2 linked regions of the Sus scrofa genome follow. The protein of the gene in region 2 interacts with the protein of the main gene of each other region in a pairwise test. Links are inferred from orthologs where the notes say so. Each region holds a gene or a part of one and is shown on either strand. Other genes may lie near its edges.

Evidence for each region. The genes of interacting proteins can lie anywhere in the genome.
Region 1: the proteins of CCDC155 (region 2) and BET1 interact in binary tests that used the Homo sapiens proteins (3 or more experiments, as listed by UniProt). The two-hybrid records come from large-scale screens. The link is inferred for Sus scrofa from reciprocal best matches to the Homo sapiens genes KASH5 and BET1.

The regions. Positions count from the first base shown.
Region 1 is NC_010451.4:73,789,074-73,795,127, reverse strand, and holds the start of BET1 (BET1 homolog), read left to right. Parts: upstream 1-2,474; 5' UTR 2,475-2,644; coding exon 2,645-2,663; intron 2,664-6,054. UniProt on the Homo sapiens protein: Required for vesicular transport from the ER to the Golgi complex. Functions as a SNARE involved in the docking process of ER-derived vesicles with the cis-Golgi membrane.
Region 2 is NC_010448.4:54,496,656-54,501,917, forward strand, and holds the end of CCDC155 (protein KASH5), read left to right. Parts: intron 1-30; coding exon 31-89; intron 90-1,905; coding exon 1,906-1,951; intron 1,952-3,720; coding exon 3,721-3,785; intron 3,786-3,861; coding exon 3,862-3,990; intron 3,991-4,087; coding exon 4,088-4,232; 3' UTR 4,233-4,444; downstream 4,445-5,262. UniProt on the Homo sapiens protein: As a component of the LINC (LInker of Nucleoskeleton and Cytoskeleton) complex, involved in the connection between the nuclear lamina and the cytoskeleton.

The sequences.
Region 1 (6,054 bases), on a different chromosome or scaffold from region 2:
TCACTTATATTCCTGAATTACGGAAAGGGAAGGTCAAATGGGTGGCTCTTTGAAAACTCTGAATATTTTCTCAAACAAGAATGACCAAAATACTTTCAAAAATTGTTTCTTTTTTAATGATTTTTTTTTTTTTTTTGGCTGCACCATGGCATGCGAAAGTTCCCATGCCAGGGATTGAACCCAAGCCACAGCAGTAACCAGAACCACAGCAGTGACAATGTTGGATCCTTGACCCTTTGGCCACCATGGAACTCCTAATGATCTTATTTTACCATGAGGATTACAATTTTTTTTCTACTAGTTTTCATTGAAAATATATAGTATTTCAGCTGTACTATGGGTTACACAGATTTTGGCTAACATAGGAACCATAATAGCCATGCTATTGGGCTGGGTTGGGAACCTTATCATCCATCATTTCTGCCTCCAAGAGAAATACATTTAAGTGCCAAATAACTGGCTTAAAAACTAAGTTTTGTTCCAAAGCCTCTTTGTAAGTTAAGAGCTATTGAATTTTAGCTAACATTTTCTTAAAGTTCAAATATGATGCTTGATATAATGAATTTGCTTCATGATTGGAACATTTTTAATGTTGATGTAGCTACTTTTGAGAGCTTGGTGTGCTATTTCCCTTGGATTAGCCCTGGAATTTGGTCTGGAGGAGGAAGGCCACAGGGGCAGGAAACAGACAATAGGAAAAAAGAAAGTTTCAAATTTCCCACCAAGATTCAGACATTTCCTGCTCATATTCTTGTTTCTATAGTTACTATAATAGTAGTAAGGATCAGTCATTATTAGTCATTCATTTCCTATAGACCCCAAAGATTAGATGTTTTCTATGAAATTATCTTATGAGAAGAGAATAAAGTTCTAAATACTGTATTAAATCTATTTTTTCCACCTCATCTTTTGAACACAAAATCTCAAATGAGTTCATCGTAACTGGCCAACAGAAGCAATAAGCAACTATTTGGATTTCTAGGTCACAAGCTCAATAGAAACCAGCTTTACCTGTCTTGAGTTAAATTCTTGGTACCCCTTATTACTTTATATTTTCTTCTTTCATATTTTATTATTATGTCTCCCTATAATGTAAAGGAAGCATTATCCCCTTTATAAGAGGATAAGTACATATGTAATTTAAATAATCTGTTTTGGTAAGCTTAACATCAGATTTAAAAATTTTTACATTACCACAAGAAATCTTTTTAAGATGATTTTTCTGACATGCTTTGGTTATAGAACACATGCACTTCTTAGAAAAAAAAGGGACTGTCACAGATATTAAGTTAAAATGCCATTTCTCTTATTGAACCTTCAGTGTTTATTTGCAATAACTGTCTCTGATTCCCCTGTTTTTAGAAAATGGTTGTTTATTTTTATGAAGACTGTTTTTCTCTCAAAACGCTATTGGATTAATCTTATTTCCCATGTTAGTAACTTTTATTAAAAATTGGTTTTTGTGTGTTGTATTTTACAAAAACAACCTTGGGGCAGAGACTTACTCTACCATTACTACAGTCAATGTTCATATTGGGAAACTGTGGGGGGAGCACCAAATGATCAGCGATTATTGCATTCTCAAAAATCTCTAGTATGGAGAGTATCCCAACTGTCATACAGCAGCAACGACAAAACGGCTAGAATCCAGGGGTTTCTGATCAACTAATGCACATCAGATTTTTTTTTAAGTTATTTCAGTTAATCCTCACAATAATCCCCGTGAGATAAAATGAAAGTCTAGGACTAACCCCAATTCCAGAATGACTCTACCCTCACTAACAAGCTTTTAAACACTGGCACATTACCACGTGTAAACAATATTTCGGCATTCTTTGTGTAAGTTAAAAAGGACAAACAGTATTTTAGTATTCTTTGTTTAAGTTAAACAGTTCTAAAGGAAGTTTAGGGGCCTTCGGTCCCTTCAAAACTAATAGCCTCGGATCCTTCTAGCAATGTAACCAACCCAGTAACAGGGAACGGAGTCTTCAGTGCCTCAGAGGAAACCAGGCTACTTTCATTGCCTTCTTTAATCCGAGCAGCAGCCCTACTCCACGGTTTTCTCTACTGGGTGACCTGGAACAAGTCGGTTACCCTCTTCTTTCCCTTCTATGGGTCCCCACTTGTGTGTGAGTTAAGAAACTTGAATAAAGTTTTCTTTGACTTTACCTGAACTAACTCCAGGTGAGAGAAGTGAGAGGCTGAATCAGGAAAAAGAAGTCAACCATCCTCTCTTGGTCTGGGAAGGGTAGATGAACTCAGTTGAACAGCTGAGAGCCAGCGCCAGCCCAAGAGCTGAGCTCCAGGGTCCTGGTTGCAGAGTGGAAGTCGGGCCGCGCGCCCTTCTTACGCAAGCCCCGCCCGCTCCTCCACCCGGCTTCATCCTACGCTTCAGCCCGGCTTCTAGCCTCGGCGGCGAACTACATTTCCCAGAATGCCATTCAAGCCACCTCGCGAGGCCAATAAGTGCCTTGGGTGACGCCATCAGCCAGCGCGATGTTTAGACTCCACTGATGTCGTGGCGCTTTGGGGAAAGAAGTTGGTGTTTCGCCGGGCCCTGGTACTGAGGACGCTGTCCGGGTGGCCCCTAGCCTCTTCCTGCCCACCCCGTCGGCCCGCCTTTTCCCCCCGCTCCTCTGGCAGGATGAGGCGTGCAGGCCTGGGTAAGAAGAGGGCTGAGATTCGAAGTTCGGGGGCCGCAGAACTGGCGGTGCTGGGTGCCGGGACACGGGAGGAAGTCAGACCTGTCTCCTGTCACTGGAATCAGCCAGAAAGCAGGAGGTCTGGAGGGGTCTTTGGAGACGGTGCCAAGTGGAAACACACCGTTTTGTCCCAGATTCTGGGGGTCCTTAAGTTTGGTTCAGTCCCAAGTACTGGATGGTAAGTTTAGAGAGAGTAGTGGAGGGCTTGGGGTGAGGTATGCCCAGGTGTCAACTACTGAGTTTTTAGTGTTACTGCCTGAGCGTGATTATGGAAATTGCTGAGTTTCTCGAAATCTGTCTTCGGTTTCTTTTAGGGGGGCCTAATGTTAATTTCTTCAGAAGCGAAATTTGAGAAGTTAGTGTTGCATGCAAAGCACACCAATAATCATATTAGTCTGGTAACAGTGAGTTACAAAGGTAAAGGTGACATTACAACTGTTAAAGGCCATGATCTGGAACTTCAGGGTCAAAGGCCATTTAACCTAGAACATTTCTTATATAAGACTTGTTCACCTGTTAAGGCTGTAGAATGTGGTAATACTTGGTGACTTAGCATTTGTTCTTGACCTTTTGGCTTAGGAAGCAAGTTCATAAAGCAGCAGAAATAAGTTAGGTACAAGGACTTATAATGGGACTTATAACACACAGCCATTAAAACAGTATTTTCTGATTCCGAAGCTATTAAGAGATGACTGGGAAAAAAGAAAAGAGAAAAACCTTCTAAATCAGTGCACAGTATACCTGACAAAATATAGGAAATATTTTTTAAAAGATAATGTTACCTTTTTTAGTTCTTATAATAAGGTGGGAGGAAAAAGTTTTTCAAAAGTGCCAGGTATTTAAAGTTAGTGAAAGTTGCAGTAACTCTAGGCACATACATTGGTTAGTAAATTGTAGTATGAGAAACAGCTTTTGAAATATGTAGTCTGTATGAATGATGAATACTTGGATCATAGAAGAAAGTTAGCCAGGTACATTGTAGAGAAAAAAGATAACTCATTTTGAACAAGTTTAGTTTTATATACTTAAGTGTTTTTCCGTTTTATCATTACTGATTGTGTACTTGAGTAAGCTCTAGGTATACAGTCATTTGTAGTTCTGTTTGTGCTTCCAATCTAGCTGAAGAGTAGAAACATGTACAAAAATAAATTATAGTACAAGGTGGTAGCACTACAACCAAATATCAACTAAGTTCTAGAGATAGTGAATGCCTCATGGATTTCAGAGACAGAACATTTGGTACTTTGTGGAGACTTAGGAACTTGGACTAAAGCTGGAATAACAAAATGTAGGAAAGACAATTTCCAGTTGAAAGGGTGACACCCCCCAAAAAAAACAATTGTAGTACTACAATCTAAAACTGTGAATGATGTATTTACAGGATTTTGATTAGGCAGATTTGGTTGAAGTAGGAGACTTGGAACCAGAAACAGCCACATTGTAGAGACCTTTGAGTGCCAGGCCAGGGAGTTTGGATCTCATCACTAGGTTCTTTGGCCTCTTTGAATGTTTTTGTGCAGGAGTGTGCAATAATAAATTGTAGGAAAAGGACTTAAGAAGTTGTGGTTTGAAGTCCTGACTGTACATTAGAATCACCTGGAGAGCTTTTAAAGCATTGCTGCCTGGACCCCAGCCCAGCTTAATTAAATTAGAATCTCTATGATAGTGTGGGTATTTTTTTATTTTTTGTTTTTAAGCTCCCCTGTAGTTGAGGCAAGGTGGTTACTTAGGTGTCTATTGCTCTAATTTACATTGGTGTGATGTGACATAAAGTGACAAGAGTTGTTTTTTTTTTAATTATCAATGTGTATTGACCTGGAGCTTTAAACTTATGATCATGAATCTGATAGATATTCATGTGGAAAAGCTTCCACATTTCACATGACTCTAAATAATTTGGTTTGGTTATTGACAGAAACTATCCAGAAGTAGCATTTGTCTAATGGACAAAATCTGAGAATCATCTTTGGCATTCATTAGCTTTCCTACAACTTTTCATAGCAGTAAGTCACACAAAAAGAAGTGGCTAAATTTATCTATCTATCTACATATATATTTATGTAATATATATCTTTATATTATATAAGTATATAAAATATATCTGATTATATATATATATAGAAATGGGTGGATGATGATGTGAAGGGAAATTAATAGAAGAAATAAATGTGCATTTAAAGATTTCTAGGCAATAAGTAAAATGAGAATTTCACTTATAATAAATGGAACACTATGGAAGAACTCTAAAAATAAAATTAAGATAGGTAAAATTAATAATAAAGGAAATGAAACAACTAGCCATTAATTTAGAAATGAATTCCTTGGTAAGGTTGTCAAGTGATTAAATTCAACCAGTTAATAATGACTTATTGGGTCCATGTTATATCCAGAACTTTAGTCACATAAAATATAAGGACAATTTTCTTTTCTTTATGGATTTTGGTCCTAGAGTTTTTACAGAGTATCATTGATTAATAAGGTGATAATGCATCTTTTTTTTTAATGCCTTCACCTGGGGCATGTGGAAGTTCCCTGATCAGGGACTGATTTGGAGCTGCAGCTGCGATCTATGCCACAGCTGCAGCAATGCCAGATCCTTTAATCCATGGTGTAGGGGCATCAAATCCCTGCCTCTACAGCAACCAAGCCGCTGCAGTTGGATTCTTAACCCACTATGCCACAGCAGGAACTCCTGAGAATGCATTCTTAAATGATTAATTATTGAGGGGGGGGGGGAACATTATGTCTAGTTACCTGAGTCCTTAACTTTTGTAATAGCACACTTAGCTTTGTGGATAGTGTCAGTAGTTGAGGGAAAATTTGGAGAATGCAGCTCTTTCTCTTCAGGAATATACATGTTTAACATTTTGTCGTGGGTTTAGTGGTGGTGGAGACTGTTTGCTGCATGTAAAATACTCATTAGGTGCAGAGAATATAGAAGAGACACTACCTCTGTCCTCAAAGAAGCTTATGACTCCAGTGTTGATAAAGGCACATTCAAAGTTGAATAACAGTGAACTTGATGTCTGTTAATTAATTTATGCATTTACAAGTATTTATTGGGTGTTCCTTACTGTGTATGTATGTTTGTGAGGAGTAAATAGCCATGAGCCCAACAGATTTAGTTTCTGCCCTAGGAGTGCAGTCTGGAGTGTAATAATAGTTTTAGGTATAGTCAGAGCTATAAGAATTCAAGGGAGAGTGTTTTGCTTTTTAGAGAAAGTGAGATTTGTCCTGTACCTTGAAGGAGCTTCCTATTCACACTTTGACCTTCTTTCAGTAACGAGTGCTGTCTGCTACTTTCTGATCTCCCATCTCTGTCACTGCCACTCCACATTTATAGAGACCTCTA
Region 2 (5,262 bases):
CTGAGAAACCCGAGCTTTTCTTTCCCGCAGAACAACTTGCAGGGAGAACCAGCACACCCTCCTGACGAAAGGAAGGAGCGATCGATGTGGTGAGAAGAGTGGTCCTCCCTGAGCCACGGCTCTGCCTTGGGGTGACGCCCCCTTCTTAGTGGATAGAGTGCAGAGCCCGGAAGAGCCCTGAAGGAGCAGTGGGTCACTCCTGCCCTCGTTCCTTCATGCTGCGGCGACCCTGGGCCCGTGGACTGGGTTGAGTCAGACCCAGTCCTGCCCTCAGCACCTTCCGTCTGTGGAGGAGACAGCCCCTGACCCAGACGGTTCTGGGAGGACACCCAGAGGGGGTGGCTTTGCGGGAGGCCCTGCTTGGGGTCCAGCAGGGCTGGCATTCATGTAGGAGACCCTTACACAAGAATACAGCTGTCAGGCAAGGGGGACAGCTCAGGCACTCAGTCCCGGTCACTGAACGCACCCCTCCCACGGCTTCCTGGGATGAATGAGGCTCAGATTGTGCCCCAGGAGAGCAACCAGACAATTGGGAGACGTCAGGGGCTCTGGAATCAGACAGCCTGGGTTCAGATCCCAGCTTGGCTGCTTGGTGATGGGATGGGGTGAGCCTCTGCCCGGTGAGACCGTTAGAGGCTCACGTGCAACCTCTGAGGACAGAGAAAGCGCTAGATATCCGGTTGCCCCTCCTCCTCGGGGCCTCTGCCTTCCTGTGGTGCCTCTTCCACCCCCCCCCAACCCGCCCCCCTCCCCCGGCCTCCCTCAGGCTCCCAGCTTCGGCCACTAATGAGGCTGCTGCCTCGGCCTCTAATTGGACTTGTCTGGGAAAGCTGAGATCTGGCAGGATGGGGGCCCCAGAGCTGTGACCTCTGCTTGCGTCACCAGGGAAAGGGAGGAAGATGGGGCTGAGCTGCGGGGACAGAAGCTGGTGTGGGGGCTGGACATTTGGATTTTGGGGAGAGGGATGCTGGGGCAGCATGAGCTACAGATTGGGAAGCTGGGAGTGAGGGAAGTGGTGAATTTTGTGTCCCCTGGAGGTGACCAGGGATGAGGGCTTGGACCTTGAGAGGGACCGGGGGTCCTGAGTAGAAGTCCCAAAGGATCAGACAGCCGTGTGTCTGACTGGGGCAGAGGCTGGGGGCCCAGGAGCCAAGCTGCCTTCCTGAGCAGTAACTGAGGGGACAGCTGTATCCCAAGGGTGCTGGGTCTGCAGCTGGTGGCCGAGGCTGGAGGGCTGGATCCTTGCTCCCCAGTGAAGGTGCCAGTGGATGATGTGGACAGCAGAGTCTCCAAGGGGCTCTGGGGCTGGGCAGCTTGAGGCCTGAGTCCCCACGGAGGCCTTTCAGGTGCTCAGTCAGCTGTGACCGTAGGAGGCACGGAGGGTGGGGGCTGGCACCTCAGAGAAATGATTTGGGGTGGGTGTAGGGCTCACACAGTTGGATGCTGGGCTCGGGGAAGTCTGAGCTGGAGTTCCAGGCCTCAGAGAAGAGTTTCAGTGAGACTCAGTGAAAATGGCCAACCCACCAGACAGGAAGTTGGGGCAGTGGGTGTGTCTCGGGTCCGAGTCTCCAGTGTTTAAAGTGTGAGATAACAGAAGCCTCAGTTCCCAGTTGGGAGATCAGCTGGGAAAGTAGCAGCTGAAAAAGCCAGTGAGGTGAAGAGGCCCCTGATCCTTTTCAGGAGTCACAGACTCTTTGGAGAATTTGGTGAAAATTCCCCTGAAAAATACAGACACTGACGTACACACACCAGTTTGCTCATGGGGGTCCAGAGTACCCTCCAGGCCCATCCCTGGTGCCCCTCCACCTCCAGGCCCCTGCTTTAAAGATTCCACCACACGGCAGGCAAAAGGGAGCCAGGCAGGGATGACAGATGTTTTCAGTGACTTTCTTGTCACCACCCCAGGTTGCCCAGAAGAGAGGAAGAAGAGGAAGCGGAGAGCCAGGTGACGGTAGGCAGTCCCCAGCACCATCCACTCCAGGCCCTCAGACGAGGCTGCTGTAGTCACAGCTCCTCCCCAGCCCCCACCCACACCCCCATTCCACCCACCAGACAGAAAAATCGTTTAGCCAAGAGATAACAATGCCCTCTTGGTAGCTAATGAGAGCAGACGATGCTGTAGAGGGAGGCTGCAGCCAGTGGGCGGCCAGAATGTTCCCAAGGGACCCCCCCCTCCCCCTCCGCCACCAGCTCACACTCAGGGCTGCAGCCACCATGCCATAGGCCTCACAGGCATGCTACACCCCCAGGTTGCAAAAACGCACATGCACCCTGCACAGGAAGGGCCGGACCCTCCCCACCAGCCCCAGAACTCCCTTGGGGCACCACGCCTGTCACAGCTGCCCTGCCCGACACCACACACACTGGCACCACATACCCAGGCTCCTTTGCTCCTCAAATTTGCAGGCAACAATCCCGATTCTCAGGCAAGGGATGGGAGGGAAGGAAATTTGGTGAGGCCAGAAGCCTGTGGTCCTCAGATAAGGAACGTGAGAGCCCAGGAGTTCCCGTTGTGGCTCAGTGGTTAGTGAGCCTGACTAGCATTCATAAGGACACAAGTTCGATCCCTGGCCTTGCTCAGTGGGTTAAGGATCCGGCGTTGCCTTGAGCTGTGGTGTAGGTCGCAGATACAGCTTGGATCCCGTGTTGCTGTGGCTGTGGTGTAGGCCGGCGGCTACAACGCTGATTGGATCCCTAGCCTGGGAACCTCCATATGCTGAGGGTGTGGCCCTAAAAAGACAAAAAAAGAGAAAGAAAGAAAGAAAAACATGAGAGCCCAAAGGTGTGCCAGCCTCCATTCCAGGCACCCGGGACCCTTCAAGGTATGCCCAGGAGAGCACCCAGATAATCGGGAGACTAGGGTCCAAACCATCCGAGATGGTCTCTCTGGGCAGCCTGACCCCAAAGCCCACCTCTTTCCCACCACAGCATGCTCCCGTCCCTGGAGGCTGGGGCCCCACCTCACTTTCCTCATGGCTGGTGTGATTTTGATCTGTAGTCAGCTGTCAGAGTCGCAACACATCACAAGGGCCAGCCTGGCCAGAGCAGAGGCAGGGTAGGCAACAACAGCGAGGAGAGGGGCTCGGACTGGTGTTGCTGGAACTCTACCCTTCTAAATCTATTGCTATTGCCATAATCATTGTCCACAGAGCAAAGCCCCTGGAGGAATATTTGGGGCTTTAACCTTAAATCACCTGCTGGACCTGGCACAGGGCAGTGCAATGGGCTTGTGGAGGGCCCATGCTGGACCAGGCCCAGCCCAGGCCTGGGCTCCTGGAGAAGATAGGGGCTCTGCCCTCAGGGGCTTGGATACTTCCAGAATCAGATAGAAAATGGAAATAATAATACTGAGGAGCTCACGCAGTTATCGAGGGCTCACTGTTTGTCAGGCACTGTTCTGAGCCCACCTCCTCATACTTTGGTTTTTCCTGCATTTACTCATTCATTCCCCACTTCAGGCCTGTGTGGTGAGTGCCTTCTCATCCCTGTCTGGCAGATGGGAAAATGGGGCCTGGAGAGGTGGGGTGACACGCCAAGGGATGCACAGCAGGCAGCTGGCAGAGCGGGGAGCCCAGCGCTGTAGTAAGCTCAGAGAAGCTTAGGCGCTGAATCTCTGTGTTCCACCCCTTCTGTGTGGTCACTTCTGTCTCCTGGGCTGAACTGAGCACCTCTCCCAGTCCAGGACCCAGTGCCTCAGCTTTGTCTCCTTTTTCCTCCAAGGTGGATCTACCCATCCCTCTGGGAGACTCAGACCCTGCAGACATCCCAGGAACCCCTCCTGAGAGGTAGTGGAACCCAAGGGCCCGGGAGGGGACCTGGGGGCACCAGTGCCACTGCCCTGCCTTCCTTTCTCGCCAACAGCCCCTCAGAGCCAGAGCCGCAGCTAGCCCTGGTGCCGGTGGTGAGGGAGCTGGTCCCAGTCAGGAGGCCCATCTGGAGCCAGCTCTGCCTGTGCCCCTTGCACTCCCAGCATCTCAGGTGTACCCCAAGGTATCTGCAGAAGGAGGGTGGTGGTCAGGCATCAGGGCATTGCTGGGACACCGTGGGCTCCCCTGGACACCCCCCCAAGCACTGTCCTGCCCCCCAGCAGGGTCACTCGGCACCCACTTATCCCAGCACCAGTCCTGGGCCTGCTGCTGCTGCTGCTGCTCTCGGTCCTGCTGCTGGGCCAGTCTCCGCCCCCCACCTGGCCCCACCTCCAGCTCTGCTACCTCCAGCCTCCTCCAGTGTGAGCCGTGCTCCCCACCGCCTCAGAGCAAAGTCTGGTTCAATGAATTTCCCAGAGCTCTTGTTACTGTTATTCCCATGGTTGTGCCACTGTGACTTGGGATTACCCATTGCTAGGACCCCAGACACTGTGCTCCAGAATCCACACCCCTGTATTGTTTTTCGGGTTTTTTTTTTTTTTTATGTGAAGTCTCTTGTTTGTTTGGGTTTTTTCCCCTCTGCGGGGGGGGGGGGGGGCGCACACCCATACATAGCATGTGGATGTTCCCAGGCCAGAGACTGAACCTGCGCCACAGCAGTGATGCAAGCCCCTGCAGTGACAATGGTGGATCCTTAAGCCACTGTGCCACAGAGAACTCTCAGTCTCTTGGCTTTTTAACACTGGCAACTACATTTCTTAACAATAGCAAAACGCCCAATAATGGATTAAGCACTAGGGGTTTTATTTTCCTCATAAAACAAGTCTGGAGGAGGGCAGCTGCGGGCCCACAGCTCAGAGTTTCCACAGCACCGGGGCCAGCAGGCTGTGAATTCTCTGTGATTCTCTTGGCCCCTTTCTTGTGCTCAGGAGATGGTGGGTATTTTAGCTTCATATGTCATATGTGCAGAGAGAAGGGGACACATCCCTTCCTTTTTATAAAGAAAAGCACTAGGCTTCCAAGAGCCCGCAAGAGACTGTCTCACTAGCCAGAACTGTTTGGCATGACCACCGCTTGCTACAAGGGCAGCTGGAGACCAAGCACCTCTTCTGGAAGAAAAAGAGAGAGATTTGGACCAGTCACACACCACAGATTGTCGCTGCAGTGCCAACGGCCAGCAGAAAAGGTCTGCCTTTTGTTCATTCAACAAACACTTAGTGATCATCTATTTGCCACAGCTAGACCTTACAAGATAGAAAAATAGACCCTCCAATGCCAGGCTGAGAAGCATTTTTCTCCCAAGGATGATGAGAGTTTTGGGATGTTTATTACTTGGTTTTGGTTATTTGTAATTGAGGTGTAATTTGCATACAGTGATAAACAGACAAACCTTAAG